Linked DNA regions of Mytilus edulis. The protein of the gene in region 1 binds, or shares a complex with, the protein of each later gene. Links are inferred from orthologs where the notes say so. Each region holds a gene or a part of one and is shown on either strand. Other genes may lie near its edges.

The links.
Region 2: the proteins of unextended protein-like (region 1) and protein tyrosine phosphatase type IVA 2-like are in contact, whole or in part, in a crystal structure (PDB 8CT8), measured with the Drosophila melanogaster proteins. The link is inferred for Mytilus edulis from reciprocal best matches to the Drosophila melanogaster genes uex and PRL-1. Residues at the interface, in NP_001104390.2 of Drosophila melanogaster: Leu391, Val422, Thr423, Lys442, Cys445, Glu446, Gln449, Asn450, Pro451, Phe454, Phe456, Asp458, His480, Val482, Asn484, Gly488, Asp489, Pro490, Phe491, Tyr492; in NP_001260487.1 of Drosophila melanogaster: Asp32, Ile33, Thr34, Ile35, Asn36, His37, Asp77, Gly78, Cys109, Ala111, Leu113, Gly114, Arg115, Arg142, Arg143, Gly144, Ile146, Asn147, Gln150.

What each region holds. Positions count from the first base shown.
Region 1 is NC_092347.1:7,280,559-7,297,412, forward strand, and holds the start of unextended protein-like, read left to right. Parts: upstream 1-9,764; 5' UTR 9,765-9,794; coding exon 9,795-11,526; intron 11,527-14,579; coding exon 14,580-14,723; intron 14,724-16,854. UniProt on the Drosophila melanogaster protein: Probable metal transporter. Acts downstream of PRL-1 and protects the nervous system against olfactory carbon dioxide stimulation.
Region 2 is NC_092355.1:3,877,699-3,893,763, forward strand, and holds the start of protein tyrosine phosphatase type IVA 2-like, read right to left. Parts: upstream 6,215-16,065; 5' UTR 6,057-6,214; intron 5,658-6,056; exon of another isoform or gene 5,520-5,657; intron 1,371-5,519; exon of another isoform or gene 1,021-1,370; intron 1-1,020. UniProt on the Drosophila melanogaster protein: Probable phosphatase. Inhibits growth possibly by negatively regulating Src64B-induced growth. Regulates central nervous system circuit formation and stabilization of synapse-dense terminal arbors.

The DNA.
Region 1 (16,854 bases):
CCCGAACCAAACTTTACAGAATATAGCTGACGTGAAGCGATAGACAGCTGACGAAAGCCTGCCCTAACTTGGATAGTCAATAAAACGTCCAGTAAACAGTGCATACCCAAAACACAACAAGCAAGGTTGGTAAAACCAGGGAACATTTTAAGATGCCTGGTGGACTTTGAGATGAGAATAAGGATAAATAAAGGCAACAGTAGTATACCGCTGTTCAAAACTCATAAATCCATGGACAAAAAACAAAATCGGGGTAACAAACTAAAACTGGGGGAAACGCATTAAATATAAGAGGAGAATAAAGGAGATAAAGCATTCCAGAAATAAGAACTGCAACCATACCGCAACCATACCATATGCATCGTGTTGAATAGAAGCTTTTTATAAAGGCCTACAGCGAAAAGCGGAAAGGCTGAAATAAAATCGAGAATAGAAACCGAAAATGTGTCAAACAACCTGATCAAAAGGGGGGGCAAGGGGGGTCCCAATAACAGCAAAACAGCAAGTTGATTTGGCTTATAACAGATAACAAGGAATTGAAATGGACAAAAACAGATAACAGTAAATGAAATATTAAAATAAGTCGTGTCCTTGACAAATCCAGTATTTCTTATTACGGGTATAATCCTTTGTAATGAATTCCATTTTCTATGAACATGGTTTTCAAAATTATGTATCTAGATATGTATTTGGTATATTCTTGTCCGTCCGTCGTCAACATTAACTCAAACATTCTTTAACCAATTTACATAAAATTTTGGGAAATTGTTTATATCTATTGACGTGAGCTCCCTATCGTTTTTTTTTTAAATTTTAGATTTTAAGTTTCTGAGTAATGGGGTTTGATTAAAAAAAATGGTGGTTTTTTTTCAGTTTTCTGATAATATCTCAAAAATTCATTCACAAATTTTTAAGAAATTTTAGTGAATTGTTTATATCTATTGACATGATCTCCCTTTCAATTTTATAAATTTTAGATTTTACGTTTCCGTATTAAGGATTTTTACTAATTAAAAGGGTAATTTTTTAGTTTTCGGACATTAACACAAAAACATTTTCAGCAGTTCTTATGAAACTTTGCTGAATTGTTTATATCTATTGTTGTAAGCGCCCTTTCGATTTTTTTTTAATTTCCGATTTAATGTTATTCAGTTAAGGGGTTTATTCATTAAAAAAGGTGGTATTTTCCAGTTTTCGGACAATAACTCAGCAATGTTCTCTGCAGTTCTCATGAAACTTTGATTTTTTGTTTATATACATGATATATATTGACTGATTTTTATAAATATCTGATATGACATTGAGAAGTTATCGAATATTTCAAAAAGGTGACGGGCGTATCATGCACTCATGGCGTAGCTGTTTATTTGTTATGGAATACTTTTTTCAGCATTTATTTTTGTACAAATATCGAAACTCACACATGTTTGTAATTTAAATAATGTGTAATAAAATTGAGAATGGAAATGAGGAATATGTCAAAGAGACAAAAATTATATCTAGTAAAAATTCAAGGGCAGTTATGGTATCAAAGTGGGTCCAATTGACATAGTTCTTGTGTTTGTTGCTATTAAAAAATGATCTAAAAGAGTTTGAATATATATATTCGCATTCTGACTTTTTTAAATGCCCATTTAATGAGGTGTGTGAATTTTTCTGAATAAGACTATGAGGCAAAGTTGTATATAGGGTAGAAAAATCAAAATCACCAATTATAAGCATGCAATTTATCAAGTAGGACCAATTTTGACACTCCAAAAGTAATTTATTCCACTATTTTCAAAGGCCTTATTTGAACACATTTTTATCAGGTTTTTGATTGTACCAAGTCTACTAGTAAGTATAGAATACATAGTTTAATAGGGGAACTATGGCTTGAAGTTGAAATACATCTTTAATTGTAATGAGTTTTTTGCAGCTTTGGAACCCAGTGCATTATCACAATAACAGATAACAAAAAAACTAAAAACTTAATAACAGCTAACAAAAAATAAGACAATAACAGCTAACAGCAAATATATTTTCAGAATAACAGATAACAAAGAATTAAAATGTCCAATAACAGCATAACAGCTAAACCTCTTGCCCCCCCCCCCCCCTCATCAAAGAGCAGAAACAGCCCATGGCCACAACTGGGTCTTCAACACAGCGATATATGCCACCGACAGAGGTCAACTGCGGGCAACATGTGGCACTTAAAAGAAAAAAGATTCAAGCGAGGAGATATTGACTTTGATGGAAGCCTTTTTCAACTAGGAATTAAGCACTTCAGTTGGATTGGGGTAATCTAAAAAGTGAAATGTCCGAAAGAGCAGTGGCATACCAGGGTAGAACAGCACAAACGAAAGCAGAGGCGAGGCGTTTTGGTCATTGTTTTTTCACTACATGATGACGAAAACGGACGGAAAGAAGAAGTTTCAACATAGGAGTCAATATTATGGAAGTTGGGGCTTAATTGTCGCACTAGGTGTTAACTTTAAACAGAGACAAGTAATATTATATGTCTCTGCTTTAACTAACAATTATAATGCACGTTGGCACGTTCTAATGTAAAGAATGATGTCAAAGTAATGACATTTATTGGAGAGGTTATTAGATATAGGAAGGAGTGGTATGAGTGCCAATGAGACAACTCTCCATCCAAATAACAATTTATAAAAGTAAACCATTATAGGTCAATGTACGGCCTTCAACACGGAGCCTTGGCTCACACCAAACAACAAGCTATAAAGGGCCTCTAAATAACTAGTGTAAAATCATTCAAACGGGAAAACCAACGGTTTAGTCTATATAAAAAACGAGAAACGAGATTCCTGACTTAGTACAGGTGCAAACATAATCCTAGAAATGCGAAATAGATCGCCACATTGATGACATGTTGGAGGCAGGATTCATAGAGCCAAGAAAAGGTCCATAGTCATCCGATCCAGTACCATTCTCGAAAAAAAGAGAGACGTTTTTGTGTCAACTACTAGTATCGTCGTTTAAACAATTTGACGGTTAATGGTACATATCGGCTTCCTTAGCATAGACTCAACCATAGATCAGCTTGACGGGAACATATGGTTTTCAACGATGGATCTTTGTTCATGTTGCTGGCAGGTTGAATAAGAAGACATTGACCACGACATTTTCAAATTCAAAGAAATAGCAATGGCCATGTGAACCTGCCACTTTCGAGTTGAATATGGAGCAAATAATGGCTGGTTTACAATGCCACAGTTGCCTACACTATATACTTTAATATATCACCAGGTACCTAGCTCATATATTTAAACAGGAAATGCAAAACCCCGGGACACTTTTATTTGTAATTGAAGAACCGTCCAAAAAGGAGTATCTATAGATCATTGCTGCAACAACACCAGCGCATTTAGTGTCTCCTTAAAAGAAGAAGCTTGTTGAGAAGTATAATGCAACCACAGAATGGATTTTCAAAGCTACGACACAATCCCCCTATAGTTCCGAGGACAAACGCAACAATTGGAAACACCATAGGCGACCTTTGAAATATAACCAACTCGTTCATCTCAAATTGACTCGTAATGTTTCGGCAACTAACGCTGTTCTACTCGTCGCCCATGGACACGTAGTGTGTAGCCACCAATATCACCAATGTTATTGAAGCAACTGTCATGGCTCAAGTTAGGACGCCAGCCGCAGAACCTTCACTATCTCTGGTTGAAAAGATAACTGTCAGAAGGTTTAACCAGAATGAGAAGGAAGTAGAACAACCAACATCTGGAAAAAGGTTTTGCACCATGACAACGGAAAACAAGCTGATCCGTGAGGACTTAAAACTATGGAATTTGCTTATCATATACAAGTAGCCGTTTAGAAGATGACATCAGTAAGATGGACCTATGTTTTTGTTTATTGAAGTTATACTATTGTCAGTGCTTTTATTATGCTCTTATTAAATCCATGTTTGTCCGTCGGATGGGGACTTTAAATCTGATGTCCAGTGTACAGAGAGTATTATGCTCTGTACTTAATAAAAATCCCTCACAACAAGCTCTTTTAGATTTTTTAAGTGGTCCTGTTAATGCTACATTGTTGTATACAGCTTCCCTCTAGATTTTTCTGGGTTGATCCTAGCCAATTTCCTTTTTGTGTGGTCCAATTCCATATCCAGAATTCCTTGTGCATCATCTATGTTATTTGCTAGAATGCAATGTCATCCACATGAATGGGTGCTGGAACTGGTATTCCCGGATTTGTTTTTTCTTATGACTTTTGAACACATGTATACTACTGCTGCCTTAATATATGACCAGTTGATGATTTTGCGCCTTGTTAATTGTGTTCGTTGCAATACATTAACCTCTTCTGGATATTCTATCTTAATACTCATTTCTCTATATAAAAAAAAGTGAAGAGTTTATTCACTGTTCCTATCTTTTCCATAATAGTACAGCTAATTGAATAGGATTCCACAGTTCAGTTTATCAACTGTTTTCCCTGCGTCGAGGGTAATTGAGATTCACTTTATCATGTTTATTGTTTCATTCAACTGTTTCTGATGTTAGGAAGGCTGTTACTTAGTAGGACGATACTCCCTCTGTAGAATGAATGGTGTCAATGTCTATTTTGGGTATTCATTTAGGTATTTTGATAAATGTCACTGTTACAGTCAGAGTTTGTTGGTGTTAAACGTCCCATTGATATGATGGTTGGATTTGAATATCTAAATATATATTTTCAAATTATATTAAGCACAATTATATGAATCATAAAGAGAAAATAAAATCACAAAAATACTGAACTCCGAGGAAAATTCAAACCGGAACGTCACTAATCAAATGGCAAACTCAAATGATTAAACACATCAAAAGACAGGACAACAACTGTCATATTCTTGGCTTGGTACAGGCATTCTCAAATGTAAAAAAAATGGTGGATTGAACCTGGCTTTATAGCGCTAAACCTAACTTGAATGACAGTCGCATCAAATTCCATGACATTTACAACGATGGGGAATTAACTCGTTCATTCCATACTTTCATTCCATACTTATAGTGTTTGAAGTTGATATTCTGTCTTCATCTAGCATATTTTATGGCTGTATTCATCTCTTTCGTTGATAGATAGATAGATAGATAATTTTATTAACCAATCATGGTGCCCAAAATTTGAGCTATACAATCAAATGAATTACAAAATAAAGCACAGAAAATGATTAAAGTATGTAACAGTATTACACTGTCAGTACAAAGCCCTTTTCAGAGTTTTTTTCCAATGATGTGATTATGCATTTTTCATATTACTTCTAATTATCGGTTTCAAAATATGGTTCAAATGTAGGAATTTATACCTGCTGGAAGTGCTCTTATCATATATTTAGTATGCCTTCTGTCAATTTTCTGCAGTCTAATCATCACATTTTTGTATTGAATAATCATATAAGCGTTTTTCTTTGCATTCTAATTAAGTTGAAAAATAAATTACTTATCTGAGATCGAGGCTTTCATAATTTTCTGATTCTGTCGAGTTGTATCTTTCTGTGAGGCATACACTTGTCTTTGTGCCTTTCTTGGAATTCTTTGTATTGCGATCATCTTAATCTCAAGTTCGTTATATTCTTTCTTGAGCTGTGCCATCAAGTCTCTATATGTAATGCACAGGCACTTGTCTCAGATTATTTTTTCCCTATATTCCTTATTTTTTTCTTCTGAGACAAGGCCTGTAATGTAATGTGCTGTTCTTGCATGATTGCATGATTGCTTTTTAGATGCGTTTCGTTCGTTTTTGCCTTACCCTTAAGGTTAACTTAATTAGAATATTTTTTTCAAATAAAATTAAACTAACATATAATCAAACGGACATGCAATGAAGACCCATTGGTAAACTTCAGGAACCCGTTGTTCAGTAGCCGTCGTTTGTTGATTTGGTTCATAAGCGTTTCTCGTTTCTCTTTTTATATAGATTAGACTGTTGGTATTCCCGTTTGAACGGTTTTACACTAGTCGTTTTTAGGGCCATTTATAGTTTGCTCTTCGCTCTTTTGATCAAAGGCTCCGTGGTGAAGACCGTACTTTGATTTATCATGGTTTACTTTTACAAACTTGGACTTGGATTGAGATTTGTCTCATTACTGAGCACTCATACCACATCTCCTTATATCTGCACATTTCCTATTCGCAGATAAAAAAAATCAATATGTTAAAAGACTTTTGTGAAGTACTACTAAACAGAATGACTTCATGGTTGGTCATAATACGTTTACAGTGATGAGTTGTAACGTGTCAGGACGTTTCGAATCTGTAAAACACCTTATGAAGGCAACGAGTACAAACTTCAGTACAGTATATATATTGACTATTCAAATACTTTAGTGAGGGGTACAGCTTACAATGATCCTCGATAACATGTTTCCAATACTTTGATACTTCTTTATTTACGATGGTCTTCCATTTTATTTTTTTAATTTGACTGTCTAATAGATATAAAGCTGATGGTAAGTTGTATTTCGCTAGAATCGTTTTAACAATAATAAACCAGCTGTGACTATCATCCGTTTTCATAAGTAGTTGTCTATATCCAATTTGTTTTTCTAAACTATTATGTGATTGTCTAGATCTTTTTATGTATTTGGCCCTCTATTCAATGGTAGTTGTTCAGAAAGAATGTATATGGCGGGCGTAGCTGTACTTGTTGGTAAAGAAAGTAATTGCTTAATTTTTTGTGGAATATGTCAATAATATCCAAGTTTTTTTCAGTAGGAGTTACTAATTCCAGGCCGTACAGAAGTACAGGAATGACATAGATGTTAAATATATGTAGTAAGGATTGTATGTCCAGTCCATTTTCCCCATGCAAACCAGCTGGCATTAGACTGTACATGGCTCGTCTAGCTTTTTTCACGTTTTCATACAACGGATTAGGATCATCTGGTTTTGATGTGCGTAAGACCCCCACATGGGTTGTTTGGCTAACTATTAGCATTATTGAGTTACTTATACTCCATGGGAAGGAAGGTTCTTGCTGTTTTCTACGATTTGGATACCGTGACTGGCAAAATAACACTCCTCACTGGTTGAGGCTTATATCTCTCCCTTCGACTGTAGTTGTATGCTATGTTAATAAGTACCTGTAGTTCCTCAGGGTTGTCGCTCATTAGTGCCACATCATCTGCACAAGTCGGAGCTGCGCAACAAATGGATCCTAGTTTTGCTCCCAATCCTGAGTGCTTGATATCTGTTAGGAGATTATTGATGTACAGCTTGTCACACGATAGGTCGGCGCTCAGTATACCACCTTGTTTTACCGGCGCCTTGACACATTGAGAATGGTTCAGATATTAAACCATTAAATTTAACTACACTGCTAGAGTCCATGTAAAGACTTTGTATAAGTTTCTATAGTAGCCCATCTACACCTGCTATGCATAGCTTTCTTAGGATACTCTAATGCGTTACCACATCAAATGCCGATTTAGCATCTAGAAACGCTCATGATATGTATTATTTTACCAGCATCCCTGCATTCTCTGATAAATTCTTCTGTAAAGAAGGAGCAGTTCATTGGAGCTGAGTTCTCAGTAAATCCTCTTTGTAGCCTATTTTGTTCTTTCAATATTTTAGGTTGGACCTTAGCCTTTTAAGAGGGGGGCAAGGGGGGTTCCAGTAACAGCAAAACAGCAAATTGATTTGGCTCATAACAGATAACAAGGAATTAAAATGGACAAAAACAGATAACAGTAAATGAAATATTAAAATAATTCGGTCTTTGACAAATCAGTATTTCTTATTACGGATATAATCCTTTGTAATGCATTCCATTTTCTATGACTATGGTTTTAGTATTAATTTATGTATCTAGAATGTGTTTAAATTACTACTCAATATATTATAATATTTTTTATACGCTCGTTTACGGAACGTATTATGGTATACTGTTGTCCGTCTGTTGTCAACATGTCGGACATTAACTCAAAAACTCGTTAACCAATTTGCATTAAACTTTAAGAAATTGTTTATATCTATTTACTCCCTTTTTGTTTTCTTTATAAATTTTCTGGGTAATGGGTTTTTATTCAATAAAATTGGTGTTTTTTTTTCTTCAGTTTTCTGATAATATCTCCAAAAAAAATTTCACAAAGCAAGGAATTTTGGTAAATTGTTTATATCTATTAACATGAGGTCACTTTCAATTTTTATAAACTTAGATTTCACGCTTCCGAGTTAACTGGTTTTATTAATTATAAAGGGGGATTTTTCAGTTTTCAGACATTAACACAAAAATGTTTTCTGCAGTTCTCATGAAACTTTGCTGAAATGTTTATATCTATTGTTGTAAACTCCCTTGCGATTTTTATTAATTTTAGATTTTATGTTATTGAGTTAAGGGATTTTATTCATTAGAAAAAGGTGGTATTTTCTAGTTATCAAAAATAACTCAAAAATGCTTTCAGCAGTTCTTATGAAACGTTGGTGTATTGTTTATATATATTGACTGAAGCTCCCTTTGTTGCTAATACAAAAAAATGACCTAAAAAAGTTTGAATATTCTGACTTTTTCTAAATGACCATTTAATGAGGTGTGTGAATTTTTCTTAATAAGACTATGAGGAAAAGTGGTATATAGGATAGCAAAATCAAAAGCACCAATTATAAGCATGCAATTTATCAAGTACTTCGAACGAATTTTGACATTCCAAAAGCAATTTATTCCACTATTTTCAAAGACCTTATTTGAACAATTTTTTATCAGCTGAGGTTTTTGATTGTACCAAGTGTACTAGTAAGTAGAATACATAGTTTAGTAGGGAAACAATGGCTTGAAACGAAAGAAATCTTTGTTTGTAATGAGTTATGTGCAGCTTCGGACCCAAGTACATGGTTGTACAATGCATTTGGTTCTGCTTTGAAAAGACTCACAGAGCTGAGTCTATGTACCATATTATATAAAAGGTTAACTGGTTGTTATGACCTAGTCCTTAATTGAGATCCTTGTCAGATATTCCTGGCCATATGTTTTCCTTTTTGTCATATTAAGAATTGTTTTAATTTAATATGTTCGTACGGGAAACAAGGAACATTATTCTCATACAAAAAATTAAGATAATTCTAAATACACATTCATAAAAAATGGAATTATTACAAAGGATAATCATAAGATATACTTGAATTGTTCTGGACCTCACTTCTGTGATGGGTAAATGTTAATGGAATCCTTCTCTGAATACGGGACAAACATATTAGTAGTGGTAGACCCCAATGTCCAATGATATTCAATTTATACCGAATATTGACTGTAAAAAAAAATGCTAACATTCCAATTTTCAATAACAGTTAACAGCAAATACATTATCACAATAACAGATAACAAAAAAACTAATAGCCCAATAAAAGCTAACAAAGAATAAGACAATAACAGCTTACAGCCAATATATTTTCAAAATAACAGATAAAAAAGAATTAAATTGCTCCATAACAGCATAACAGTTAAACCCCTTGCCCCCTCTTTCAACACGGCTACAGACTCAATAAGTTTCAGCAGTATTGGCATGATAGCAGAGACATATATACACATATGTGTATATATGTCTCTGATGATAGTAAGTTACTAATCCCTCTATAGTTGGTGGCGTTCTTGTTACTTCCTTTGTAGATGTAAGCAACATATATGATTAAATCAGTGTACTAGTCTACATGTTTAACTAATCGTTGGTTAAATTTTAGTCTCGTCTCGGGACTTATTGCAATCAATTTGAAATCACCTACTTTTTTTCCGGAAAGAAAATAAACCGATATGTTCCGACATTTAGTCTACTTCCGCAACAAATCTTACAAATGGGTGAAACTGTCAACAGGACTCTAAAAAGTTTACTGTTTATTTTGAGCATTTACATCGCAGTTTTAGGTCAAGTAAAGGGAAATGCACCAGAAATACTTGGGATTATATCCCAGGAACCTGGAAATATACGAGATGAGACTGGAACACTGTTGCTTTATCCAAGAATTGCACATAAGTTACTTTTGGTCGGAACGAACTTCTCCGAAGTGGAAAAAGGTCAGGCCCAGATAGCATTCACTTTAAGAAAAGACCCAAGTGGTAATTGTGATGATTACGACAGGACAAAGTCATTTGATTTGATACCAACCGCCGATGGACAGTATGCCTCTGTTACAGTTACTTTGGAACAGATTCCAAATACAAAGTTATCATCTGGAAATGTAACAAACAAGTATCTTTACATCTGTTCAAAAAAAAATGATGATTGGGTACACCAAGGAGATTCCAATATATTACGAGTAGGTATAGGAGAGATAGAACCTCCTAAAATTGTCTCTGTAGTTACGGGAGAACCTGACAGCACAATTAATAATGATGGAAGCATTTTACTCTATTCAAATGAACCTCAAAATATATTTTTTGTAGGCCAACATTTTGATGGGTTTAAACAGAATGGACAGCTGGCATTTACTACTAAAAAGGATGTTACAGGATCCTGTGGAATCTTTCTGGAAACCAATATTTTCAATGTCACTGTTGAGAGTGATGTACTTTCTTCGGTGTCAGTGTCTCTTCAACATCTGGGTGGAGGACAGCATTATTACATTTGTTTAAGAAATCCGCAGAAATCCACAGAATGGATCCATCAGGGGTCAAACAAATTTCTAACAATAGATGTCCGTGTCAGAGTAGAAAAAACAACAATGTTACCCTTCTCGATGCAACTTATTATTATTGCTTCTCTGTTAGTTTTATCAGGTTTATTTAGTGGTTTAAATTTAGGACTGATGGCGTTAGATAAAACAGAACTGAAAATTATTGAACGCTGTGGGTCCAAAAATGAAAAGAAATATGCAAAAACAATTTCCCCAGTTCGAAAAAGGGGAAACTTTTTGTTGTGCACACTTCTCTTGGGAAATGTACTGGTAAATAATTCTCTTACAATTTTATTGGATGATTTAAGTAATGGATTAATTGCTGTTATTGCAGCCACAATGGGAATTGTCATATTTGGAGAAATTATACCACAAGCTGTTTGCTCAAGACATGGCTTAGCTGTTGGAGCAAGAACCATATGGATTACAAGAATTTTCATGGTTCTCACATTTCCGCTATCTTTCCCAATCAGTTTACTTCTAGACAAAATTTTAGGCGAAGAAATTGGACATGTGTATGACAGAGAAAAACTTCAAGAATTGATTAGAGTAACTAAAGATTTCAATGAACTTAAAAATGATGAAGTAAATATAATAGCTGGGGCGTTAGAATTGACTAGGAAGTCAGTTACAGAAGTCATGACTAAAATTGAAGATGTGTTCATGATTGATATAAACAGTAAACTAGATTTTGAAACAATCGCTGAAATTCAAAGGAGAGGTTACACTCGTATTCCTGTATATGAAGGAGATAAAACAAACATTGTACATTTGTTAAATATCAAGGATTTGACTTTAATTGACCCTGATGATAAAACCCAACTTAAAACTGTGCTGAAATTCTATCAGCATCCATTGATCTATGTGTTTGATGATCTCAAATTAGATGCTATGCTCACTGAATTCAGACAAGGTAATAACATTTATATACAAAGTATGTACACTTAAATGCACATACATGTAGGTGTTCTAAAATACAAAAACATATGCAAATTCATGGTAATGATAATTACATGTACATTGTACATGTACATTTATATGCATATATCCCAAGCTCCATATGAGCAAAACAATATATTTAGATATATTTGTATGCAAACATGAACATTTATTACTATATTTTTGTTCATGTATGCATACATGTATTCAAAGATGTGAGTTATGACTACATTTGTACATGTAGGTGGTAATTTTATGTACATGTATACTTGCATTGCCATTGGGATACTTGTACATGTACAAATAAAATATGTACATATACACAAAAATGTATGCAAATACATTGTAGGTTCAAAACATATACATTGTGTATGCACATTATAGCTACATGTACATACAGCTCCAGTGGTCTTGTGGTACAAAAATGTAGCATCTTCGCCACAAGTGTGGGAGTTCTTGCATTAATTAGGTTCAGCCTGTACAAGGTCAAACCAAAGTCTTTTAAAGTGGTATTTGTTGCTTTTCTGTTGATCTTGCAGTTTTAAGGAGTGAGAGCAAAGACAGGTACAAATGTAGGCTTGGAGTAAGGAAAATGTGTCTGGGTAGGGTGACATCATTGACATGCCTTCCTTCAGACTGTTACCTCGTACTAAATATTACATTAACATGTTCTTGTCCTAAATATGCATGCAGATTATTTTGTTGCTGGATGTAAAACAGCTGTTCATCATCTTCAAACCTCAAATAAAAATGGTATTTTACTGAAAATTCCCAATAAGTTGAGATGGAAAATCACTATTGATTCATATTATTGAGCTGGATAAACTACACTTTTAATTATGAAATGATGTGACTCAGCAGTACAAGTACTGTCAGTAGTTTATACATGTATATTTTATTTATTTCCATGCATTTCTTCTTGTAATTGATAAATTGATAAACAGTCTTCATTAGAGACATGTTAATACTGTTATCATTTGTATAAATAGGAAAATGTCATGGATGTGTTTACATAATATATAAATAATATCTGTTTTATCTCCTATTTGTCTGACCTGCTATACTTGGTGTGTACATTTGTACTTTATGACCTGTCAATAATAACACACATTGCAATACAATATACAGTTTGTTGTATATACATCCTTGGAATACATTTGCAGTCTGCAATACAAATGCTTTTTTATATATACTATTCAGATATAGGAAAAGTCTGCACCAAAAACTTTTTCAACTACTAGTCCGAAGAGCAATATTCTGACATTTTTCTTATTTGGCCAAACAAAGTTTTGCAAAAACTCACTAGTCCGAATGAAATTTTACTAGTCTGGGGCATCGGACTAGTGGCTAACCGTGCAGACTGTTAAATAGGATAAGACAATTGCCTGTATTTCTTCACTCTCATGAGCTAATTTGTGAATACAACATTTCCTACAAGCCTACAGTGTTTTTTTCCTATTTATAATGTTGTTTTAACGCAAATAATTTCTAGAATAAAAAAAATAAAGAACACGAGCTGTAGTGTACATTTGTACATGTAAATGTACTGTTTATGTATCTATTAACTTTTTCCAACAAAATAAAACTTAATTGGTCAAACTCTGGACCCTCTCTGAAATGGTGTTTTTGGTTCTGATAGTTTGTCATTATTCAGGACATGCAGGATGAGGGACTGATGGGGATGGCTTCACATAAGACAAATGATTTATCTAACATGGCAATTTCACAAATACAGAAACTTTTGAATGTTTCTACTTAATAAAAATACATGTTAACACATTTAAGTGTTTTCAGGACTGTATGTTAACCTATTTAGATATCATTCTGTATGTTGTTGTTGTTTGCTTGCCTTATTGACATACATTGTACATGAACATGCGTGATGTAAAACCACATTTCATATGAATTGAACATTCACATGGGTTAAACTTATTTAAAAACATCATGTTGCATATATATATATATATATATAATATATTTCATAACATTTATGCATGTTCCAAAAATTCTGATCACATGTACATTGTATGACCTTATGCATGTTTGACATGTTATTATTTCATTTGTTGCTTTTGGCGACAGTTTTCTAAATAATTCACCTCAATAGGGACAAATGGAATATATATGAGGCACCTCATGGGGTGTCCAAGTAATCTTATAATCACAGAATAATGAATTATTTTTTTAAAACAAAATCAAATTATCAAAAATACAGTCCTAGATTATTAAATAATCATGAAATATTTTGTCTGGTATTCAAATAATCATTAAAAAATAAGTCAAGTAATTACATCACCAAAAACCCCATGAGGAGGCACATATATGTACATGTACCAGGTCTATTGATAATTGTCAGTGAAAAAAATCAGTTAACAGGTCTGAATTGTCATTTGATGACCTTACATAAAATGATAGACAGACTAAACAAGGCCTCGGGCATGAATACATAATATCCACATCACATTATTTACATGTTACATAGCGCACTTCATTTATCAGTGTCCATACATGTACTTATGACATAACCTTGACCAGTACTTACAGTATATGTATATTATATCATTTGTATATGTTTTTAATATGATAACTGGTTCATTCAGCTCTTTTTAAAAGGGGGTTTCAACCATACATTGTATATCCCCATTCAAAAGCAGTTGATCATGAAAAAAGGGGGTTTCAATCCCTAAGACCCCCCCCCCCCCCCCCCCTTTGCCTTTTTTGGATCTGTCACTGCTTAAAGAACTTTTAATTAGGGATTGAAAGATGTTTTATATGTATAAGGAAATTAGGAAAATCATGAAAATGCACCAAAAAAGCTGGATGATTTGGAAACAGAAAAGATTGAACATTTGTTGAAAGCAAAAACATAAAATATGAATATACTTTTTCAGACTTCAAGATAAACCTTAGTTATTGTCTTTACCTCGTCAAAACAGTGATCAGTAATAAAAGTAGAGACAGCCATAGTTCCAATGTAACTCATGTGTAAAAGGGTATTATGTACTATATTTTATACTGATTTTGTAGGTCATTCTCATTTGGCCGTGATCCGTAGAGTGAACAGTGAAGGTGACGGTGACCCATTTTACGAGACCCTTGGAGTTCTGACTCTGGAGGATGTTATTGAGGAGATTATACAGTCAGAAATCATAGACGAGACTGATACACTAAGTATGATATAAATTGATACAATCAATCATTAATAATCAGCTTTTCATATTATATATGGATAATTATCAATCTTTTTGTCTTTACAGAAGGGAGATAATTACTTAGGAACAGAAATAGGTCTATAGGATTCAGAAGTGAAATTTAAATTGTATAGAACTGGAGGCCCTCCAATGGAAGGAGGTGGGAGGGATAATATAACAAATCCATACAACTGTTTTTTTTCAGACACATGCTATTTTAAATTAAGATAAGAAAATACACATCACATTATGTATGAGGGGGGGGGGGGGTTTAAGGTGGGATTTCAGGATTGACCGTTTTGGATCTGGGAATTCTTATTTAGGGATGTCGGGATTTCATGTTTCTAAATCCAGGATTTCGTGATCAGGACCATTCCGACCTCCCCCAAATGCATAAAACTAACTCTGAGCATATTATTAAAGCACCAATTGGGCTGTAGTCATGTTTTTATTAAAATAGATACATTAATTCCATCATAAATTTAAATAACAGTCCACTTGCGCTTCTCTTGAACCAGTACAAAATACATGAAAGGATGGATTGTTGTAAAACCATTTTCACTGCACCAGCTTGGCAAGACATGTTTGGTTTCTGGTTGATTATCAGTTATCTTGCAAACAGTATTCCTTTATCTCCCCATGTTATAGAACCTGTCTCAATTGATCAAGGGAGAGGAGCTTTGCAAGGAATTGTAAAAAAAGACCACAGCTGAACATGTGCATATGCAGTTCAATTACTGGCAGTTTAACAGATTTCTGCTTTTTGTGTAGGGGTTATTTGTTTATATGATTAAACAATGAATGACTTATGATTATAGAATGTCATTTCAAAGGTCATTTTTCAAGAAAAAGAGAAATAATTATCACAGTAAATACTAATTTTCAGAAACACATATTATGTCACCTAAACAATACCCATGTAAAACAAAATATAGTATAATTCTGTAAAGGGTCATTTATTTTAAATAAAAATCAGAAAACATGTACCTCATCTTTAACTAGAATAATTCTTTTTCTATTAGTTATGAAAAATGGTATTAAGTGAAAATTATGAGTCTAACTAAATCTTAAAAACAGGAAAACTACACTTTAAATACATGTGTATAAATAAATAACAATGATTAATATTCTTATGACCATTTTTTTTTTAACATGTCTATATACGTACAAATATGTCTGTATTTAGCACAGGGTAATTTATTAATGAAGGATAGAATTTAAATATATAAAACAAGAAAAATAAACAAACAAGTTTATGACAAAATTTTCAAATTTGTTCACAGTAGCCATGGTCCATTGGTTTGTCCAATGTCAACAATTTGGACAATAACTAAAAAAGCACTTTAAAGAATTTTTAGTTATACTTTCAGGAATTGTTCGTATCTTTTGACATAAGCTTGTGTTCTATTTTTATGATTTTAGATTTTACAATTCTGAGTAATGAGAATTTCAATTTTTTTTTTACTTTAACTCAAAAATGCTTTGGTGACTGGTTTATATCTATTTAAGTAAGCTCCCTTTTGTTTTTGTAAATTTCTGATGTGACAGAAGTAATAGAACTTTATTCACTGAAAAAGCGATAAGTTTATCATGCGCTCATGGCTTAATTCTTTATTACTTTATGCTCTAAGAGATTAATTTCACATAATGAACATGGCATATTGAACTATTATTATTGATGTTAAGATATTGTGAAATCTGAATTTAACTTGTATTATAAATCAGGTATAGGAAAGTAATAAACATTATTAGAAATTTAAAATGAAAATTGGCTAAATGGGTTTCTGTGGAATTAAGAGTACAAATATAAACACTTCAACACAATTAACTATATAGCCTAGTTAGGTGAAGTTCAGCCTTAACTATGGAAATCCCTACATAGATCGATAGAGACAGGTATTCAATCTATTAGGCTGAAAGCTGCTTAATTGCTAAATATCATCCAAAACAACTTTCCATGAATTTCAATGTGATAAATATTTTAAATTCCAAGGTCAGGTCTAATTTAGCAGTCTTATTATTGGATGTATGCAAGGTTTGTTAAAGTCAAAATAAAAGATAGATGGTCGCACTGAAAATTACAGTATTTTTTCTCCTGACAAGGCTGACTT
Region 2 (16,065 bases), on another chromosome or scaffold:
ACAACTACACACCACTTTAATTCACCTGTACTGCTGATGAAGGGGTGAATGTCCTCTCTTCTAATAGTCCTATATTGATGTGAAGGAATGTCACTTTTAAGCACGACTGGTTATTAAACTATTTGATGTATTTGTGAACATCATATTTATTGTTGATGTATATATGTTGTTATACATGTACAATATGTCAACTGAAAATTTCAGTAGAAATGTGGTGAAGTCCTATTTCATAAATTCTGTACACATCAGTCACATGAAAGAAGATTTAAATGTGGGTTTTTTTCTGAGGCAGAATGTGAAAGTAAATCTATACATACATGTAGACATAGTTTGGGGAAATTATATAATTACAATTTTGGAAAAAACTTCAAGACTTTAGAATCACTTCTAATTATCAGATTATGACTTCATGCATGCTTATGCTAAAGGAGATACAATGTACGTGGGTACTGACCAAACAAAGTACAAAACTTATTTGCTCCTGAATTAACCCAGAAACATTGAATACTCTATATTTATTTATTTTTAAAATAAGGACTAAGGCACAACAATTGTAAATGTTCTGAGTTCAGTAATTTTTAAATAAGGAAGCACAACTTTATTCTATTTCTCATTATTTGATGTTATCCATCACTGATAACAGAGGTATCTATATTATGTCTCTGCCATCTCTTAGCAGCATTATAATGAAAAAGTACGATGATCATGTATCTTCCCCCACTTCACAAAAATTCTTCATCAGACATCTGCTGCTTTTAATTGATCTCTATGTAAAACATATCACATACCTAAAGAAAATATTTCATTCACAAAATGATAACATATTTACATAGACTGTCAGGTAAATAAGACACACCTGTATGTAACCTAATGACCTTTATCAAAACAAACAAAATGTCCCCTCGTATATCACTCAGATATTTATTCAAACATTTAACCAAATTGTCTCTGCAGTGGTCCTTCCAAAATTAAAATTTTAAGTATTCAAGAAAAATAAACAACAATATTATTGGTATTTACCTGTAAACATGTGTATCCTTGGAGGAAATGAGAAAAACTCAGTTATCATTGGAAGATTTTCTGGCTAACCACTAACAATAGCACTATCACGACTACAGTAGTCTGTAGCATCCAAATCATTTACACTTTATACTTCTATAGACTAATGACATTCATGGTGTAACATGTACATGTAGATAAACACACTGACTGATATTAGAACCATTGTTTACAACTCAGCTCATGTCTATACTTTTTCTTCCTTAATAATTATATCAATTGTCACCTATGCATTATTTTCAGTAATATTCTTTTAAATATCAGATTCTAGCAGAAATAATATTTGTCCATTGGGGAAAGAGTAAACAGATCTATACATGTACAATGTACAAAAGTATTCAATAGATAATCAGTTAATGTAAATACAATGTAATGCCAAGACATATATATATTAAAAATTTAAACAAGTAATAAATCACTAGCCTTGTTTTGGGATAAGCTGGGCCTTTGGACAGAGCCCAGTCTATATAGAAAATATAGAAAACATACCCAGACTTGAAGCAGCAATTTTCAGTCTTAAAATCCATGAATTACAAATTCAACCCATACAGAGGACAATGTTCTAATAAATAAGTTCACTTGTCTGGCACTTATTAATAAAGTTGTTATATACATGTAATTTAATAAAGTTGTTATATACATGTAGGATAATAAATTGAGAAGGTACTAAGCAGTCTTCACGATGAACTATTAAATCTACAGGCCCGGAGCTCAATTTTTAATTTTTTAAAGTTAGATTCTGTTGGCCTGGGCCTAAAATAAAATTTCATTTGTTTGGCATTGCCGCCCGACCTACTGAAAAACTTGCCGCCCAAATAATTTTATTTGCGTTTCAGAAATTTATTATTTTTTATTTAAAAAAATCGAAATTGTGCCGGAAATTGATCGTATCCACCGAGTTTGTTCCTGGCTTTACTTATTTCAAATCATGATCTTAAAAGCGCTTGCCTTGCACTGTATTTGGAGCAAACATTTAAATGACATGGAATAGAAAAAGTCTGCCAAAAGTAATGTCAAAGAGGCCGGCAGGGGAAGGCATCTCCCTATGCTGCAATGCATTGGTTAAGGGAGATGGATTTTTTATCAAAAATCAAATTTCAGCTATTCTTTGAAAGAAACGTTTTGAGAGACCTTGTAGAGGACTCAATTTTATCTTTTGTAAAGCAGAAACAGACGATTTCTGCTTGTTTTTGTCGCTTCATGAGATAGAAGTTTTTCACCGGGACATCACAGAACAAATATGCGTGGCTCTTACATTTGATGAACTTATTAAATATTTGAAATTTATCATTGACAAATTATCCCTTGAACCAGAGAACAAAGTATCTACTATAGTCAGAACCACAATGATGCATTCAAGATAATTATGGCTGTAAGCACCAAATCTTAAAGACCATAATGATTTACAGGTTTATAGTAGTTTTGTAGATGCTAGCCTGGAACAAAACATACATATTTTAAAGACTAGCATCTTGTGTCAATTGAAGTACTTCCCCCTTTTCTTGCCTTTCTTCTTAACATGAATAGGATAATTCTTAAAACATAAAAGATACTGACAGAAACATAATATAAATGTATCCAGTGTACTAGTGATGAATAAAATCCCCTCCTTTTCCACAATTCTAAGGGCTCATTAATTTATCTGTATTCATGTAATGCATGTCCAGATTTCTGTTAATCAAACAAGCATTACAACCCATAATTTATTTATCTGCAAAAATTGTCTGTCCTGCTGTATATTTCCATTTTGAATTTATCATACGTTTTAAACCTATCCCTGAAAAACCTTGCACTTGGATAATATTAGTATAAACACCATGTCTATTTGTGCCAACCTTCCAAATTTTTAATATTTTGCTATCCTAATTTGGAACAGATCCTTTATCCTCAAAACTTATCAGGGGAAGTAGGCATGTTTGTATGGTAGTTCGTCACACCTTACATGTATGATTACTAGCCTCCAGGTATTGGTTTGAGCCCTACATGTAGTTGGGCAGTTGCAAAATTAAGGTTTGATTTTCATGTCAGATGTGATAAGGTTAGTCAGTTTCCTCCCACAGGTTGGCATTTTCCTTCAAGTACTACGGTTTAGTACGGCACTAAAACTGACTGCCATGAAATTACCCATATGGTGTAGAAAGTGATGTTTATAAAACCAAAGCAAAGTTTTAAATCTTTGTCCATTTGTACAAGGAGCCGTAGTGGTTGAGCCATTTAACTTATGGTAATTTTACCAAACTGTGACCACAACTTCAAGATGTTACATCAGGCCTCTGTTCAATGGGCAGTCCCACAATAAAAGCTCAATTTTCACGTCATACATTTTATATGGTTAATTTGTCAGTTTCCTGCCTCAGTTGTTTTTTTCTGGGTACTTTGGTTAACTTTGCCAATAAAACTGACTGTCTTACGTGAAATTATCCATATGATGTAGAATGTGACATTGATGGTTGACCCCTTTCAAAGAAACCACCAGCATGTACACACAACAATGCTGCAATGCTTTAGACAACATTGATCTGGAGACTTCATGATTTACATGTATAAGGCTTTTAAATGTAAAAAAAAATAAATCCCTACCTACCTACCCACCTGCTGATAGTGTGGGTCGGCAATGCCAAACAAACAATTTTTAAAGGGTTGCCCTGTAGATATGATTTTTACAGGCCCGAGAGCAATTTTACTAGCCTGGGCTGCCTGGGCTGCCACTCAGTGTGAAGACTGACTAAGGCAGTCTGGATTAGGGGGGGGGGGGGGGGGGTCTGTTATTCTGTAAACATTTAATTTCACCCCTTTTTTCTCTAATCTTCAAAAAATTAACCCCTTTTTTCTCTAATCTTTATTTTTTTTGCCCGTTATTCTCTAATCTTCATTTGTTAAGGGCATTATTCTTTAATCCTTTAACCCCATCCAAACCCTCTACTAAGGTAATGATATTGATCCAAAAACTCAAAAGTTCAACAATATTTGTTTATACATTGTACATGTAGCTAAAATGTTTTACACAATTTTAATTCATTTACAATACATCACTAATCAATAAACTGATAAATTCAGCTTATAATAGATTTGTTTAATTACACAGTATTACAATTATCAGAGTTTTTATCTCTAATAGTGTGGGTGACATGTCCCCTAAACACTGTTTATTTAGCAATGTGATTATACATGTTTAATGGCAATTACATTTGACAAATTTGTTAATACCCTGAATTACAAAACACTGACACGAAAATAGATTTTTTTTTCCAAACTGATTCAAACAAAGCTGAGAAATAAACAAAGTATCCAAAATATTTAGCCTACATAGAAATACAGGGGGGAATGAAAAAAAACAGAAGTAAAGAAAAGTATTGAATGGCGAACTTATGTTTTTTCTTTTCATCATTTTAATCTCTGAAAATGACTCTTTATATGTCTCCATTTTATCTATGTAAGCATTTATCAATAAATCTATTAAATTGAAAATACAATTATGACAATGGGACTTAAGTATTTGTTGTATAAATCAGCTTAGCAAGAACATGTGCCTATGTTCAGTGAACTGTGAAATTGGGGACAAAATTGTAATTTGTCATTGAACTTTGAAAGTTCACCTCATGTTATAATTTCCCTATAAATTACATTTCTATGGTCATTGGATCACCTTTATTTGACATTCGTTTTCACAGTTCTCATCATAATGACTATGTGTACTAAGTTTTAAGTTTAAATGACAGACCATAAAACATAAAATACTTTTCTTCTTATTGCCCATTACCAGTCACTACAACTGCAGGTGGGTATGATAAATTGTATTGCCAGTTTTGGGGATATTTTCATCCCAGGGTAATATGATGTCCACCTAGTATAAATTCCTCAATATAAATTAATTATGAGTTATCTCCCATTGTAAGAAAATCTATCTGCATTTTAAATACAGTTGTAGTAGTAAGATAAATTGACATAAGTTGCTTCATTTACATTAAAAAAACAGTACAAGTGATTCTAAAAAATAATAAGTCTGAGCAAATGACGAATAATTATTAAAATTTCTGTTGTTTGAAATCCAAGAAGTCCGGTTGAAAATATTGTTAGATTCAATTTTACATTTGCACATGTTCTTGACTCTTGTATGAGGATAGTAATGCCTTTTAACGTTAGGAGTAAAACAGTCATTTTCAGCTACCGGCATTCGCGTCAAATTGGTTAAAATCTTACAATGATTCGTCAAAATATCCTTAACATGATTTGTTAGAGGTCACAAATAATTATCGTTACCCTCATTTAAAAAAAAAAACATGATTCGTCAAAATCAGTCAATGTTTTTATCGTCATACACCAAAAATTACTGTTAATGTCATTTGGCAAGAATTTTTACTGTTATTGGTTATACAGGTACCCCCATTACGACCCTCTTGTATGTATCAAAAATAACGAAAAGGGGATATTACTTTTATCTTTAAAATAGCAGTGCTTACCTGATGAATGCCAAAAGATCAGGCTAAATACAAACATGTACAGAAATTGAAACAAAACATTTTCCTGTTCAACTTCAAAAATTTTGTCACAGAATAAACTTTTGATTTCACATTATGACATACAAGGAGTATATTGTGCAATCATAAAAACTTAAGGTCAATTATGTAATGAAAGATAAGTCCCAAAGTGGAATTCTTTATCAATGAATCCAGTGGAGTAAAAACCAGAATTGGTCATTATTGTTATCTTCGACGCAGATTTGGGACTTTTTACTTCACTAAACAAATAATAAAACAACAAGAAAATGGTATCAAACACCATTCTTTTCATTTTTAGTTTGGAGGTATATTTCTGCAATATTCATCAGGTATTGTGTAATTTATAAACATAGGAATTTTAACTTTCAATTTCGCTTCCTACGCATGAAACACGCACCAGATGAATGAATGGGCAATACACAAATTTCCCATCTGGGATCCGTTTCTCGTGATTGCGAAACAATTTTCAATGAAAGACAAGTTGACAATTCAACTTACCAGTATATTCCTGCACATTGATCGCACTCAACGCTTTTACCTCGCTCTTACAGCGAGACGGTACAGAAAAATGGGAAATCTAAATGTTTTCACCTCTACACAACCGCTCTCAAGCAAGTATGGCTGTCAGACGTGTGACGTCACGAGTACATTGGGGCACAAGGGGGGTAATATTGATTTACAGATGTGACTAATAACCAGTGAGTCACTTGTTGATGAACAGGGACCTAATTATACAAAGCTATGACAAGTCACCGTTAAATAATGAAAACTTTCAAGCAAATATGCTGATGAGGAAGCCAATAAAAATAAAATAAAATTGAAGGATTCTTCTATAAATTTGTATTTACAGATTGCATTATTAATTTAAGGTGTACAGTGTATCATTACTATATATTTTCTAAGATAGAATTTTCTTTTAAATAGAGATATTGTCTTGATTCACGTTAATATTATCAAAAGTATAGATCACTGTGCTATTTTTTTCTAATTACAAGTAGCACAAAATTGCCCAAATTTGCATATATATTATCAGAGACATATAATACATTATACATGTATTATATGTCTCTGATATTATTCACTCTTTTTTAAATATTAACTTCAGTTGAAAAGATTATTTTTTTTTATAAAATTCGAGAAGGAAAAAATATATAAGAAATTATGTCACCAAACTTATTTTCTTATAATGAATAAAAAAATTAATTGTTTGGCTAACTTTACAATCATGTTTAGAGTTAGTTACCTCCCCTTACATGGCCTTTTTGAGAGAGAGAGAGAGAGAGAGAGAGAGAGAGAGAGAGAGAGAGAGAGAGAGAGAGAGAGAGAGAGAGAGAGAGAGAGAGAGAGAGAGAGAGAGAGAGAGAGCATAATGAATATCTGTTAAAATATCATATAAAATACAACAAATCACTTATTTTTTTCTTATTTAAAAAAAACCGCCTTACACAAACACTAGACTAGTGTACACCAGCTGAAATGTCTCGTATCATTTGAGTCGACAACATTTTGCTTAAATATGGTGTAAAAGTTTGGGTTTTTTTTAAATATAAATGATTTTGTCAAATCTTAATGAAATTTTACGAAAGTTGGACAGAAGCTTTTTATTCTCAAAAGATTATACAGACCTTGAAATGATGAATTTATATTTTTAATTTTCCCGTATTCTACTGATAAAAGGAATTTCTGTTTGCATATACAGTCTGTAGTTGAAGTTTGTTGCACTTCAATTACTTTGTTAACCCTTCATTGAATTTTATGAAACTTTTGCAGAAGTTTTTTTGTGATTAATGTCTGAAGCAAAACTTTTGAAAGTATATTTTTTTTTATTTTTCAATTTACATACGGACTTATGTTTTAGCAGTTTACAGACTCTCTGTGATTATTATTTTTTACATAATGATTTTGAAAACCTTCAGATGTTGTCATGAGACTAGGGTAGAAGTTAATATACCAGATCAAGAAAAAAAGATCTTAACGGATTGAAATGTTTGATTATTTAAAATCCTATTATAGACTGATAAAAAGATTCAATTTTCGCGGGAAGCGGCAATCTAGCGAGAACCACGGTTTCACGAAACCCTTTACGAATTTTCATAATGCATCTAAACCACCGTGTATCATCGTACAGCGGATATAGGTACTAACCAAGCGGGCGTGAGCGATTTTGATCTTACACGGTAACGAAAATCTTTGTTTTGTTCACATAATATCAATGTGTACTTCAATCTAAACATAATTGCTATTTTAAGAAATGATTTGGTCGTAGGTTAATGGTTAGAGATGTCTCATTATTTTCCCAAAACAAGAGGGATTACTTAAACATTGTAAAAGCATGTGCAAATACTTGTCAAAGAAGTTGGTCCTCGTCTCTTCCGATATAATTCTATATTCATTGCAACTCTTTTTCTGATAGAAGGTCAATATGTGTGTGTAATAAGTATTGCTGTTTCAATAATTGGCATTGAAATCTTTCATACATATGTTATTTTTCGATATTTTATCCCTAAAAAAGTGTTGTGTACGGTATTTAGCTAACCGCATAAATCCTTATGTACGGTGCATAGTTATGTTGTTGTACACCGTACACAAAAACATTATTTTTATACTCGTTTATTACCCAAAATGTTTCAAGGAATGAGTAATCACAGATAGGTTTATGATTGGTGACTATTACTTTTGCCCTGTATTAGGTTTCTTTCAGATAAAACATGTAAATGTCTCAACAACTGTATCGAAATTGAAAGATGGTGTTGACTTTCACAACTATTTGCGCTTGTACAAGTTAATTGTTCTTATTAGAATATCAAACTTGTTTTATGAATAGGAAAAAATCGATGCAAAAATTATTTGGGAGCAGGAATTTCAAATGTTGAGAAATGTACATTGAATATTGTTCAAGCAAAACAAAGATTTTCGTTACCGTGTAAGGTCAAAATCGATCATGCCCGCTTGCTTAATACCTATATCCGGTGTACTGATGATACACGGTGTAAACATCTTTGCAAATTAATCATTTCATATTCATTAACGACATTTGCACAACAATGGGCCTTATCTCATGGTCCCTTTAAACATATGTTAAAGTAACCGGTTTGGATATTTACTCCAACACCAATGACCATTAGATTTCAAATCAACACAATGAATACATTAAATATAAAAGATAAAAAAAAGTATTCTATAAGGTATGTTCAACTTGCTATTGATTAGTTTTTTTTATAAAAGAAATGCCCCCTTTTCGAAACCCGCTGCTAGAAGGTGTTAATTACGGCTCTTTACCGTAGATAGCGAAAATGAACGTCAACACGTCTACTTTATCTTTTATAGACAATGCAAGAGAATATATCTTTTATAGACAATGCAAGAGAATATCCATTTACAGATCTAAACTACAAAAAAGACAATACAAGCGAATCTATACATCTTCTGTGCATGGTAAGCAGATCCTGCTCCACATGTGACACCCGTCATGTTGCTAATGTTAGTACAAAAAGGACAATACTTTGGCTCTTAATGGATCTATTACAAAAGCCTTACTTTTTTGATAAAATAAATCACTTCATATATAATAGAACATTGTTAGCTTCTTAATCACCACATTTAAGATATATTGTCAAAATGCGATGATTTTGTACACTTTTCGAACGCAAATGCTAGAGGAAACCTTTGGCTGCAACATAGGATCCAAAATGTTCTGTAACCAAAAGTTGCAAATGATGACATTGCATGAATCTCTATACAGAAATATTTTCTTGATCGTGGATGGCGCGGCCATAGTATATATAATAAACTGCTAAAAACGGTTTTAGAATTGATTGAAAATTTGACCAAATCTGACGTTACAACATAATTAATTAATGCATACTTCTAGAGTCAAAATACTTCATCATTTTTCATGTCATATGCCAAAATGAAGTTATTTTGTATTAATAGTAATATCACACTCATTTTATGTGAACTCTGTAGTATTTTGCCTGGATTAAAAAAAAACCATCAAAAACTTAGGGCCTTTTAACCCTTTGTGAATTTACGAAGAGGTGGACTTGGAACTCTATAGGTTTGATAGCTTTATTGTATATACCTGCAGCAACTCTCTATCGAGAAAATGTCATGATAGGAAATATTCGGTCAGATATAATGTATCAACTGTGAGATATATACTCCGTATGGCATGCAGTCCGTATGTAGGCGCTTCTGGAATGTTGCTACATAGAAATGGAAAGTATACAGTTTGGAATTTAGTTGAGATCTATACCGTCTTGAATTGATAGTCATTAACATTTATTTAAAATTGAAAATGGAAATGGGGAATGTGTCAAAGAGACAACAACCCGACAATAGAACAAACAACAGCAGAAGGTCACCTTAGTTTATTTTACTATACTTTTAATATTGTAATAGAGAGCTTGACATGATGTACCGTATGTTGACCTATGAAGTCGTCTTTTGTGTTATTGTGTTGGCTTGCTGTCTCGTGAGGTAAAACAAAGACCGTTTTTTCATACTTATTCCTATTCTACAATAAATAACGAGCTCCCAAAAGTATTAATGGTCACATTGTGGTTTTTTTTAAAGATTGAAATAAATAATTTCGAGTAGAAAATTCTCGTGTCTGGTAAACCTGCAAAATGTGGTTGCAATGATATGCACAGTCCTAATCTATATGAACTTATAATTCGGTCAGGAATCTGATGGTCGGTATAGTTGTCGTTTGTTGATGTGGTTTATAAGTGTTTCTCGTTTCTCGTTTTTTATTTGGATTAGACTGTTGGTTTTCTTGTTTGCATGATTGTAAACTAGTCATTTTAGGGCCCTTTATAGCTTGCTATTCGGTGTAACCAAGACTCTGTTTTGAAGACCCTACTTTGACCTATAATGGTTTACTTTCACAAATTGTAACTTGGATGGAGAGTTGTCTCATACCACATATTCTTATATCTATTATTATATTTTAACAAAGTGAAATACGAGTATGCTTGGAGAGGCAACTACATATGATCTCTTACTGTCGACTGTCCACCTTTATGAATGTGTTACCGAATCCTAAATGGGATATCTTTTGTAAATGAACTTAAGCAATATTCTATATTTAGTTTCAGTAACATTTTGCCTTTTACCTGTTGATAATCTTTATAAGCGACTCCCATTTCCTTTTTTACAAATCCTAACAACTTCTAGAAAAGGTGGGGGGATAAGGGATTCGTTAACATGTTAACAACACTTAGATTTTGGCAAAAACAGTTAACAAAGTGGGTTGAAAAGTTAACAGCTCTATCTTATCTCAGATAACAGTTAACAACACATTGAAAAGGGCCAACACAGGTTAATATAAAAAAGGTATTGCCCCTCCTACTAGCTTATACCTCTCCCAGGGGTGAAGTTGTATTCAAATCAAGCCAGGGAGATTTAAAGTACCAATGGGAAAGCATTTTAAAATCATGTCCATTTTCGTACTTGTGAGAGTAACCTTGACCTTTAATTAGTTGATCCCAAAGTCAATAAGCTTCTTCCTTTCCCCAAATTAAGTTTCGTTCCAATCAACAAGTGAATTTCTAGTAAAAATCCAGAAACTGTTTCTCTGAAATTTTCTATTTTGATTTGTAACAGTGGCCTTGACCATTGATTAATGACCCCAAAATCAAAAGGCATCTTTCCCTTTTTCTAAGTATTAATTTTCATATCAATCAAACAAGAGATAGTCAAGTTACCATCTGGGAACCATTACCTCTAATTAAGCTCTTACATTTTTAATAATATCATTTTGGTGAAATAAACCATTTGAATAAAACTTTTCAAAATCATGTCAACAAACAGAAATTTAAAGATTGCTAAAACAAGAATGTGTCCCCAGTACACAGATGCCCCATCCAAACCATCATTTTCTATGTTCAATTGACCGTGAACATCTCTAATTTGGCATTATAATTAGAAAGGTCATATCATAGGGAACATGTGTACTTAGTTTCAAGTTGACTGGACTTCAACTTCATCAAAAACTACCTCGACCAAAAACTTTAACCTGAAGCGGGACAGACGAACGGATGAACGGACAAGACAACTAAACGAACAGACGCATAGACCAAAAAACATAATGCCCATAAATGGGGCATAAAAAAACTTTATATTTCTAATTGCCATTACTACCATCAAGTGTTTTTAATCAGCACCCATTTTGAAACTTTAATGAAATAATTCATATACACTTTCCAGTCCAAATTTCACCAAAATTTATCATTTACAGAAAGGTGGAAGATACCAAAGGGGTAGTCAAAGGGGTTGTCAAAGGGGTAGTCAAAGGGGATACCAAAGGGGTAGTCAAAGGGGTTGTCAAAGGGGTAGTCAAAGGGGTTGTCAAAGGGGTAGTCAAAGGGGTTGTCAAAGGGGTAGTCAAAGGGGTAGTTAAAGGGGTAGTCAAAGGGGTTGTCAAAGGGGTAGTCAAAGGGGTTGTCAAAGGGGTAGTCAAAGGGGTTGTCAAGGGGTAGTCAAAGGGGTTGTTAAAGGGGTAGTCAAAGGGGTAGTCAAAGGGGTTGTCAAAGGGGTAGTCAAAGGGGTTGTCAAAGGGGTTGTCAAAGGGGTAGTCAAAGGGGTAGTCAAAGGGGTAGTCAAAGGGGTTGTCAAAGGGGAAGTGAAAGGGGTAGTGAAAGGGGTTGTCAAAGGGGTTGTCAAAGGGGTTGTCAAAGGGGTAGTCAAAGGGGTTGTCAAAGGGGTAGTCAAAGGGGTAGTCAAAGGGGTTGTCAAAGGGGTTGTCAAAGGGGTAGTCAAAGGGGTTGTCAAATGGGTAGTTAAAGGGGTTGTCAAACTCATAGTTAAAACCAAATTGACAATAACATGGAAATACAATAAAAACCTCCCAATAAAGAGTCAGCAAAACACAACATAGGAAACCAAAATCTGACCAACACAATTCACTACAAATAGAACATATCTGTAATATACATTCACAACCTTTATACTACTTTTGATCACAGTGATTAGTTTTGCTCAAAAACTGTAGCAAATATTTCCAAAAAGGATAAATTGTTCAAAATGTCCGTAAAAAAGAGATTTATTTAAATGTTTAAATCACCCATCATGAAACAGATTTTCCATAATGGTCAACTAAATTGTGATGGCATCTGTAAAATATATGTCGTGATGACTTTAATTCACCACCTGAAACTTTTGTTGAAATATATATTTTTTTTTTATAGTTTTGGGAACGATAGAGCTAACAAGACTGATGGACAAATACATAAATAGGGATATTTTCTTGATGTGTTGAAGACCCATTGGTGGCCTTGAGCTGTTTTCTGCTCTTTGGTTGGGTTGTTGTCTCTTTCACACATCCTAAATTTTATATGTGGTATGATAACCACTTAGATAAGTACAGTATCTAATATAAAATAATTTAATTTTGGATGTAATGTGTCTTTTGATTGGCTGACAGGGTTTTGTTTATCACCTCATAGACATAATTCTATAATGTGTCTGATTTACCCCAAATTAATGAAATTTAGAATTAAATTATAAGGAATGACTGTAATATTTTTCTGCCTATTTGAAATAACATAAAAAAATGTAGAGCACACAGGTTATTTAGTGTGCACCACATTTTTTATGTTATTTCTTCATAGACAGAAAAATATTACAGTCATTCCTTACATAAAGGACAAAGATGTCAACAATTACAAGAAAATCTATGTCTTTCAACAATGAGCAAAAACATCTAATAGTAAGCTATAAAAGACCATAGTATGAAAAATTGAGAAACAATTCAAAAGAGAAAACACTTCAACTAATGAACAATTACAACTGACAGCATCTATTAACAAACCATAGACCACAAATTCCTAACCTGGTCTACTTTTTTGCCAAAGGCTGAGTTGCCAGAGCTCAGTAGTGCAGTGGGAGTATTGGACTTGACAATTCATGTCACTAGAGCCTTCTTTAAATGATGTCTTATTTTCATTATAGGACCACAGCTTTTTAAAAATACACAAGCTGCTCTTATAAATCTATAAACTTTGAAAAACTCAACTTTATGGGAGTTTTAATAATTCCAACTTCAATTTTATTTCATCTCAATAAAATCACAATAAAATAAAAAGACAAACATCCCAGTAACATCTTTATTTCAAAATAATAAATCAAATTGCAAGTAAAATAAGAAAACAAAAAAAATAATAGATTATTAAAGTCAGAAAACTGACATGATAAACAAATACAACATTAATGACATCAAATCTTCCAGATCTGGTATTGCTAATTAAGTAATAATATTTACACATAAATATAAATGTAAAATGAAATTCAATCATGGCAGCTACTAGCTAAAGATTTCTTCTTAAGGAAATCTTACTTAGGAAATTGAAAATTTCATCAAGTTTGAGATTTTTGATTTTGGAATCTAAGGGCACATTTATTTGGTCACAATTTAGCCAATTTGTGTTGAGGTAGTGTAAAGCAAAGAGTAATATACCACTATTTGTTTTGTACTAAATATATTTCCGTTGACCTTATTGGATTTCAAAGTTATTTCCCTTTGCCATGACATTGTAGGGAAACTTATACCTAAGTTCAATCAAGTTCAACTTCTTTTAATGACTGCTTAATTTTAAGAAAAACCTTTCTAGCATGGTTCTTTTATCATAATTTCTTGTACTATTTGTTTAAATTTGGTTACCAATTGTCAAATAAGAAAATCAACCAGTTTGCTTTCCCTCATGGCCAAAAACGGAAATAACTCTGACTCAAATTTATATCATTGGGAATAATCTATTATGCAAGTCCACCTTTATACTACTTCTGATCACAGTGATTTGTTAAGCTCAAAAAGTGTAGCAAATATTTCCAAAAAGGATAAATTGTTCAAAATGTCCGTAAATTTTTTTATTTAAATGTTTAAATCATCCAGCTTTAAAAAAATTCTCCACATATATTGAAATTTCAGACGTTCAAAAATTTCCTTCACCTGACATATAAATGTGAAAACATTATAATAGCTATATGGTGCCAAAATTGAAAATAGAAAGGTAACGGAGTAAACCAATGTTTTAAACTTTTAACCCTTTCCTCCATGGATTTTTTTTTTAAGGTATTTGATTCGCATAGGATTTCTTTCGGTAAAAAAAATTCATCAGGTTTAAAGTGTTAATGCATTGTGAAAACAGATATTTCATCAATGAAGTATAAGTCAGATATTCTCATGAATCTCCTTTTCATATTGGATACAATTTTTCAAAAGTCTAATGGAGAAATATAGGAGCCAAAACTTTTCAACTGAGGATCTACACAGGCGTCAAAGGGCGTCATTATGGAGTAAAGGGGGTGGCGTCTTAAGGTGTCATTATGGAGGAAAGGGTTAAACAACTGACATCAGATGACTTACTGGCATACAAGCATGATATGTCAAATCCATCTCATATTTGATGAAAAAAAGTAAATATGTTCAAAACCATATCATTAATTCTAACATATTTTCAGTATTGTGACAATCAGTATTTCCCATGTACATTAAAGGTTTATATAACTACATGGTTAATTTTCAGTACTGTCAATGAGTATTTTTAAAAATGTACATGAATGGTTCACATAAAACAAATTTTTTACATGGTTAATTTTCAGTACATGTAACTGCAATAATCAATATTTAGGATGAGCATGAAAAATTCATGTAAGAGAAATGTTCTACATTGGTTGATTTTAAGTACATGTGTCAGTGTTAAGAATCTACATGTATGGTTCACATAAAAAGAATTTTCTACATGGTTAGTTTTCATTACATGTACATGTACCAGTATATAGAATGTACATGTATGGTTTACATAACACAAATTTTCTACATGGTTAATTTTCAGTACATGGATTGAATCAGTATTTAGAATGTCCTTGTATGGTTCACATAACAGAAATTTTCGAAGTGATTTTTTTCAGTACTGAATCAATAACTATTTTAAATGTGAATGTATGGTTCACATACTAAGAATTTTCTAAATGGTTAATTTACATGTACTTTATTCATCAGTATTTAGAATGTACTGTGTGTATGTTATTTATATTTGGTAAAAAATCTTTCTAGACCTTATGTTAGCATTGTAATATGTGAATCAAATCAAAGTAAAAATGTTGTATTTATATGGTTAATTTTCACCAACTCTTAGACCTATGTAGGGTTCAAATCCTTTTAAAAATAAGATGGGACAACAACAAAATGTTTTCAATATGTCACAAAAAACGATAAGGTCACTAACAAGTGGTAAATAATCTCTAATAAAAAAGTTTATCGCTATTTTGTGCATTTTATCTTTGATCATTTTTTTGTGACAATTTTTCATATCATGCTACTCGCTTGAGATGGAAAATTATCACTAGAAACTAAGGAGCCACTTGGCATTGCTAATGAAATTGACATGAAATTGACGACGTCGTCATAGGTAAAATAGCGATAAACAGATTATCATTGGTCTTCTTAACGCAATTGCATTTCTCGCTTTTGCCATGACCGGCTCAAGCGAGAAAACGAATCTTG